Macaca fascicularis: one gene and its partner. The protein of the gene in region 1 purifies or fractionates together with the protein of each later gene. This does not show direct contact. Links are inferred from orthologs where the notes say so. Each region holds a gene or a part of one and is shown on either strand. Other genes may lie near its edges.

Region 1 (3,734 bases):
GAAGGGGAGGGCCTTGCCTGCACTTGGGACTGACTGCTCCGATCCTCACCCAGGTGGTAGAAGATGGCTATGAGTTCTTTGCCAAGCGGCAGCTGGTGACACTTTTCTCAGCTCCCAACTACTGTGGCGAGTTTGACAATGCTGGCGCCATGATGAGCGTGGACGAGACCCTCATGTGCTCCTTCCAGGTGAGTGTGGGGAAGAAAGGAGCTACTAGGCCCCGTGGCTCAGCCCCATGAGCCTGACCAACCCTGTCTCTTTTAGATCCTCAAGCCCGCCGACAAGAACAAGGGGAAGTACGGGCAGTTCAGTGGCCTGAACCCTGGGGGCCGGCCCATCACCCCACCCCGCAATTCCGCCAAAGCCAAGAAATAGCCCCTGCACCCCGCGCCTGTGCCCCAGATGATGGATGGATTGTACAGAAATCATGCTGCCATGCTGGGGGGGGGTCACCCCGGCCCCTCAGGCCCACCTGTCACGGGGAACATGGAGCCTTGGTGTATTTTTCTTTTTTTTTTTTTTTAATGAATCAATAGCAGCGTCCAATCCCCCAGGGCTGCTTCCTGCCTGCATCAGCGGTGGCTGTGAGCAGGATCCTGGGGCTGAGGCTGCAGCTCAGGGCAACGGCAGACCAGGTCGTGGGTCTCCAGCCGTGCTTGGCCTCAGGGCTGGCAGCCGGATCCTGGGGCAACCCATCTGGTCTCTTGAATAAAGGTCAAAGCTGGATTCTCGCCATGGCCTCCGTCTCGCGTCTAAGACGCTGCCTGGCAGCTCCTCTGCGCAGAGCTACTTGGGAGGCTGGGCACCAGGCCCCAGCAAGGGCAACCCTAGCCACACACGCAGGTCCGAGGCTCTTAGAATTCCAGGTCGGCACCAAAGAGTATCAGGAAAGCAAGAAAAACTGTCAGCTCCACGGGCGTCCCAGATGCATGCCCAGGACTTCAGGAAGGAACAGGTCAGGTCATGATTGGCAGAGAAGCTGGATCATCAGGGGCCGGCAGCACCTGCTGTGATGTTTTCCTTAGGAAGGTGAGCCTGAGGGAGACAGGTTTCCAGCCTTGGCCAGCTGGAGTATAGCCTGAGACTCAATGGGAAATAAGAGGTAGGAACGTCAGTAGTTCAGGGCCAGGTCTGGAAAGTCATGATTGGCTGGGGGTTGTGGGGAGATAACAGGGCCCAGGCCTGACTGCTGCGGGACAGCTTTACAGTGACAGCCAGCTGGGGCCTGCGAGAGGCAGTGAAACAGCTCAGCTCCGGCAAGCCCACCTTTCTGATCCCCAGGGCTGAGACCCAGCTCTTCTACTGGCTGGGGTTTCATCTAGCCCAAGGCCTCTGGGTACAGGCTTCAGGTTCTTGGTTCAGCCTTCGCCCTCACTGTCTTCAGCCAGCACAGGGCTGGGGCCCTGGGGGGAGCGTACAGGGGCCAGGATGGAGCCGAAGAACAGTGAGCGGAACTGCAAAGAGAACAAGTGAGTTCTGGAGGCTGCTGCCTTCCCCACCTCCTGCCCCTGCCTCCACCTCCAGTCCCTACCTTCTTGGGCGGGGGAGTCCCAGGTACTGTACTGGGCTCAGCCTCATCTTCCTCGGAGTGGAGACCGGGGCTCTCGGGGTGCTGGGGGCCAGGTGAAAGGGAAATGGAGGGCAGCACCCGCGAGCCCTCATTGCCTATAGTGGTTTCCATGGCGATCATGTAAGAGTCAATGTCGTCATTGGCAAAGTCATCTGGGTGGGGTATGCTGCAGGCAGAATCAGAGTATCAGGGAGGAAATGGGGAGCAGAGGCAGGGCCCCACCGTAGAGGGCTCCAAGGGAGCTCCGGGGCCCCCTGACCACTGAAGATCTCTTGGTTTTATGACTTCCTGATTTGGCTGGAGAGGAGAGGATGCAGGGGTTAAGTGGTGGCTTCCTGGAAGGGGTGGGCCAGGAATGTCTGATCAGAATTCAGGTAGGGGCCTGAGGAAGGCATCCTGGCGGCTGCTTTAGCTCAGCTAGGGGAGAGGAACAGCAAGCCCTGTGAACTGGGCCACATGGGGCCCAAGCCCCCGCCTTCCCAGGGGACAGGAGCTGGAGAGCACAGGAGGCCGGGGACAGGCTGGGCTGGGGGCCAGCCCCAGCTTCCTGTGCTGAAAGTGCATTGGGCCATCCTCCCCAGCCCACCTGCTCTTCCAGCCACCTGCTTCCCCCAGCCCAGGCAGCTTCTGCCTCCCAGCAGCCCTTTCCCTCCTTGGCCTGGGAGGAGGCTCAGAGGGGAGGCCTCAGCCAGAGAAGGAAGCCAGCAGGGCCTTGGGGATGCTTCCCTGGGTGGGAGGAGTCTCAGTACAGCTGACCAAGAAGGCTGAGTCTGCAGGGCTGGCAGCTGTGAGCACTGTAGGGGTAGGGACTGGGGCCTGATGGAGAGAGAGGAGGAACAGGAGGGAAGCGGGAGAGAACACATTGCAGGAAGGTGCAGAAGCTAGGAATTGCAGTCTCAGGCTGGAGTGCACAGACATGGGGAGAGGAGGAGTTGGGGGAGGTGCCCTCACCTGTGAGCCTGGAGCTGAGGCACTGGCTGGTGACGCTCTGGGGAGCCCAGGTCCTGGGAGTGCGAGTCGGTGTCTGAGAGTGTGGCCAAGACAAAGTGGCCATCCAGCAAAGAGTCCTTGATGGTGAAGATGGCAGGCCTGGGCAGGGGATGGGGGTCCCAAGCTAGGTCATCCCATTCAGCTCCTGGCATCCCAGAGCCCTTCCCTGTCCCAAGGCTGGGAATTACCTGCCTGGAGCATCAAAATGAATGCTAAGATTCAAGTTTGCTGACTCTGCAAAGCTCAGGAGCCCCTGAGAGGAAAGAGGTAGCAGGTGAGGCCCCGGGTTGGGCTGAGCTGGGCAGGCAGGACAGGACCGGCAAGTGCGTGGGGGGAACCTCACCCGGAATTCCTTGAGGCAGAAAGTGATGGCCACCCCTTCCTGGGCCTGCAGCTGCTGGAAATCCTCCTCTCCAAGGCACATCTCGGACACCATGGCTTTGGCAGTGCTGTCTGTTGGGGAAGAATAGGAGGAACCTGGGCCCCACCCCTCTCCCACCTGCCGCTCTGCTCTGTCCCAGGTCACGTCCAGCTCCCTCACCTGCCTCCTCCTCATGGTAGCTGCGCAGGATGACCCTGCGGCCACGACCAATGCCCAGCGTCACTTCAGCCAGCGCAGGAGGGAAGGGCAGAACAGCCTCCCCCAAGACCCTGTGAACGGGGCGGAGCATTACCCCCAATGCTTGGCCCTGCCCAGGGCTTTGCTCACAGAGGACCTGAGGTGGGGGTCACACATGCACACGCATGGATATGCGCAGGCCTAGCACACGGTGGACGAGGCCCAGATAAGGTGGCAGGAAGGGGCTGGTTGCAGTGATTGCTCAAACCTGGCAGGTGGTACCTGACCATGCAGAGCAGGGAGAGGATCCAGAGGCAGGACATGGCACTCATGCCGCCCTACAAACCCGGCCTTCAGAAAGAGCCCTGAAATCCTTATCCTCTAGGGATACCCATTGCTATACAGATGAGATCACATCTGGAATTTGCTTCAAGTCAAGTGGGGACGGGAGCTGCATCTGCTTTTACATATATTTGAAATTATTCATGAGACAGCGCTCGCTTCAGCAGCACATACGCTAAAACTGCAGCATGCAAAAGATTAGCGAGGCTCCTGCACAAGGATTAAAAAAAAAAAAGAGTAGCTGGGTGCAGTGGCTCATGCCTGCAATCCGAG
Region 2 (4,027 bases), on another chromosome or scaffold:
AAGCATCCCATGATAAAGAGAAATCTTTCACAAAAGTCAATCGATCCAGCAAGTTCACTACCTTATTTTAAGAAACTGCCACAGCTACCTGAGCCTTCCAACAACCACCACTAGAATCGGTCAGCAGCTATCAAGAGGGAGATAAAGGCCTCCCACCAGCAAAAAGATTATGACTTGCTGAGGGCTCAGATGATGAGTAGCATTTTTTACCAATGAAGTATTTTAAAATTAAGATGTGTACTTTTTTAGACATAGTACTATTGTACTCTCAACAGACTACAGTGTAATGCAAACATAAGGTTTATATGTACTGAAAATCCAAAAACTCATCTGTCTTTATTGCAATATTTGCTTTTTGCAGTGGTGTGGAACCAAACTTGGAATATCTCTGAGATATGCCTATATTTCCTTGATTCCTAATGTGAGTATGATACATGTGAAAAATTGTGAAAAATGAATCTAATAAATAAGCAATTCAAACTATGTAGATAATAAATCTCAAAACCATGTATACTGATACATTCTTTGATATATCCTATGACAAAACACAGCTTAACAAAGAATATGTAATGCGCACACACGCTAAATACCTTTCATCTTGCAGATATATTCAGCTCTCTACATAAGAAATACCCTCGGAAAACATTTATGCATATTTTAAAATGAGAACTTTCCTGCTTTACACAGCAGCATTTTATAATAAAATACTGATGCAATTGTTTCAGGATTCAAAAATATTTATTTCATTACAACCCTGTTTTTCCCCCCGAAAAAAAGTTGAAGAATAATTTACTTGTTAGAATCTTAAGCAGGAAAAAAAACCTGACAAACCCAACAAACAAAAACATAAACTACCCAACTGTTTTATCAATGCTTTAATACAAATTTTGCAAAGGAGGAAGGGCTCCACAAAATATACGCCCTGTATAAGTCAGAGAAGGTGCAAACTTTCAACCCAATTAACTCAGGGTCTGTTTCAGTTTTGAAAAGATCATAAGCTTAAAAAAAACAAATCTACGCTGGCTGAATTTTTACAAAGCAGGAATGAAATACTGGAGAGAGACATCTCCTTGAACCAAAACAAGCTGAAGAAGACTATTGTCCCAAATATTGCATAAGGCCATCGTGGGATTTATTTGCTGTCCCTCCAAAAACTGCAGGAGCTTCCGATTATCTACCCGCACTTGCACCACGCTCTCCAGGTCTCTGTGTGGAGGCACACCAGCCGACTCCGGAGGGTTTCCAAGATTTTTAAAGTAACTTTTAATGGACACCACCTCCGTCTCCATACTCAGGGTCATCCTGCCCCTGAGGTTTGCTTCCACCAGCACGTGATCGCCCACGTTCGCCATCCTCTCCACGATGCTCCTCAGCGTCCTCCAGCGCGGCAGGTGGATGCTCGCGTCGGCGGCGCGCAGGCTGGGCGGCGGGCAGTCTCGCCACGCTCTCCGGGGAAGCACCTGCACGGGCAGATCGTGCACCACGCTGCGAGCGCGGCCCAGGGGCGAGGCCAGCGCCACCGCCACCGTGAGGCAGGGGCGGCGCCTGTGGGTCAGCTGCAGCTTCAGGGAGGACGCGCCCGCCGCGCTTCTCGCCGCCCTGGACAGGTGCTCCGCCGTCAGCTCCAGGTGGATCTCATCGAGCTCTTCCGAGACACCTTCCATGTGAAACTGCTGGAAGGCTCCCCGCCGCACCTCGCACCACAGCCCGGCCTCGCACCACAGCCCGGCCTCACGGAGGCCGCGGAAGCCCGCGGGGCCGAAGCACAGGCTGTCAGGGCGCACGCGGAGCACGCAGACCTTCGCCAGCCTGGCGACGGTGCCGCTGACGTGGATGAACAGCTCTAGACGGCCCTTGCCGGTGATCTTGGCGCGAAACTTCATGACGCCACAGCGAAGGCAACTCGGGGCCTCTGAGGGGAATGCCGCGTGCCACAAGTCCTTCCGGTCCGCTGGGGTCCCCGGCGCTGCCCTCCCCGCCCTCCCTCCGGGCCCCAGCAGGGCAGGCACTCGGGTTCCGGGCTCTGTTCTGGCTTCCGCAGCCCCAGGCCTGGAGCCGACGCCGGGCGGGCGCGCCAACGCCGTTCTCACCTGCCCGCCAGCCCTCTCACAAAACGCTTCCGTTTCCGCTCCGGTTATGAGAAGAGCAGGCATTCCACTGCTGACACTCCTCAGTATTCTCGCCACTATGAAGACAAAGTCATCACTCAGATAAATTAACCACTTTTAATCTCTATGGCATACACACTGATACCATCTTCATCAATCGTACATGAAGATATAGTTCCACGGGTCGTACGAAATAATAGCATACTAGGCACACATTTTACAACCTCATCTTCACACATTAAATATGTAACAGGCATCTCTCCATGTTGGTGAAACAAATCTACATCATTTTCATGGCTGCTCAGTTTTCCAATGTATAGAGTTAGAATACAAGTGGCATTGAGATGATTTCCAATTTTTTGCTATTATGAACACAATGAATATTTTTGTACAAAATAGTTTTGCCCATTTACTCAAGTATTTCCTTGCGTTAAATTCCGAAGTGAAGTGCTGGTCAATGAATGCACTTTTAAAATCCTAATAAATATTTTCAAACTGGTCTGCAGAAAGCTGCGTGAACACTCTAGCCCACCAGCAACACTGGATATTAGCAATCTGTTTCATCTGTGGCACTCTGGCAGGCAAAAAAAAAAAAAAAATTCAACTTGCACTGTGTGTGAATTCCATTTTATGGCCTTCGCATCTTTTTATTGAGTTTATTTTTCTTGATTTCAAGATATCTAGAAAGAACATTAACCCTCTGTCCATTACATGTACTGTAAATATCTTCCCCAGTTTATCATGTGACTTTTCACACTGTTTTTGGTACTCTTTGCTCTTGGGAAATATTGAATCTTTTTTTATGTCAAACCTATTGACCTCTTCTCTACTACTTCTAGGGTCATGCTTTCAAAGTCCTGTTTCTGGTACTTTAATGTTATCTGTTTTTATGACTTAGTTGTTTGACTCAGTTGAAATCTTGCAGTACCGAATACCTAGCTGATACACACAATTCACTAAACAATCCACTTCTCCACTAATCTGAAATGTCAATTTTATTTTAGACAAAAAATTCTCATTTTTGTCTCAATGTTTCCTGGCCCTCTCTATATTTTCTCCCACTGCCCTATCTTGCACCTGTACCAGTGATTTAATTTCCATATTATATTTCAATATCGAATAGGACAATCTTTCAGAACTTCTCTCATTCTCTCACAGATATTGCTCCAGAGGAACTCTAAAATATTTTGTCAGAGTCTAAAAATAATCTTCCTGGAATTTTGCTGGGAATTATCACCACCCTGACATAGTACATACTTACACTTCTTTGTTTGCTGTCTAGCTCTAACCACAATAATGTAACTTAGAGGAGTTCTTATTTGTTCCGTATACCACTGGACAGCCAGCATTTAGAACAGTATCTGCCATGCAACTGGTATTCAACACAAATTTTTACATGAATGTATGAAATGTATAAATTGCAAGGTAATTTCAGGATATTTTGTATATATAAAAAATATATATATATATATATATATATTTTTTTTTTTTGAGACAAAGTCTGACTCTCATCACCCAGGCTAGAGTGCAATGACGCGATCTCAGCTCACTGCAACCTCTGCCTCCCGCCTCGGCCTCCTGAGTAGCTGGGATTACAGGTGCCTGCCACCATGCCCAGCTAATTTTTGTATTTTTAGTAAAGATGAGGTTTTACCATGCTGGCCAGGCTGGTCTCCAACTCCTGATCTCAAGTGATCTGCCCGCCTTGGCCTCTCAAAGTGCTGGGATTACAGATGTGAGCCACCGCGCCTAGCCAGGATATTTAAAATATTTACATTAAATCCTCCCACTTATTCAAACCATTTTTTTGACTGTCAATGAATTATTCAGTTCTGTTCTTGGGGAGTTCACATAATATATAGTATCTTGAAGTCAGTCAAGTCACTGAGCTCTCCTGAAATAATTTTTCAACTGATCTT

What was found.
Region 2: the proteins of RAD9A (region 1) and HUS1B purify together in Homo sapiens (co-immunoprecipitation; 3 studies listed by BioGRID and IntAct, counting the BioPlex papers as one, with this or other methods). This does not show direct contact. The link is inferred for Macaca fascicularis from reciprocal best matches to the Homo sapiens genes RAD9A and HUS1B.

What each region holds. Positions count from the first base shown.
Region 1 is NC_088388.1:6,978,799-6,982,532, forward strand, and holds the end of RAD9A (cell cycle checkpoint control protein RAD9A), read right to left. Parts: intron 3,212-3,734; coding exon 3,102-3,211; intron 3,014-3,101; coding exon 2,749-3,013; intron 2,660-2,748; coding exon 2,522-2,659; intron 2,387-2,521; exon of another isoform or gene 1,737-2,386; coding exon 1,532-1,736; intron 1,455-1,531; coding exon 1,359-1,454; 3' UTR 501-1,358; downstream 1-500. Other genes in the region: PPP1CA (serine/threonine-protein phosphatase PP1-alpha catalytic subunit), read left to right, coding at 54-188, 265-375. UniProt on the Homo sapiens protein: Component of the 9-1-1 cell-cycle checkpoint response complex that plays a major role in DNA repair. The 9-1-1 complex is recruited to DNA lesion upon damage by the RAD17-replication factor C (RFC) clamp loader complex.
Region 2 is NC_088378.1:172,425,355-172,429,381, reverse strand, and holds HUS1B (checkpoint protein HUS1B), read right to left. Parts: upstream 2,084-4,027; 5' UTR 1,884-2,083; coding exon 1,032-1,883; 3' UTR 720-1,031; downstream 1-719.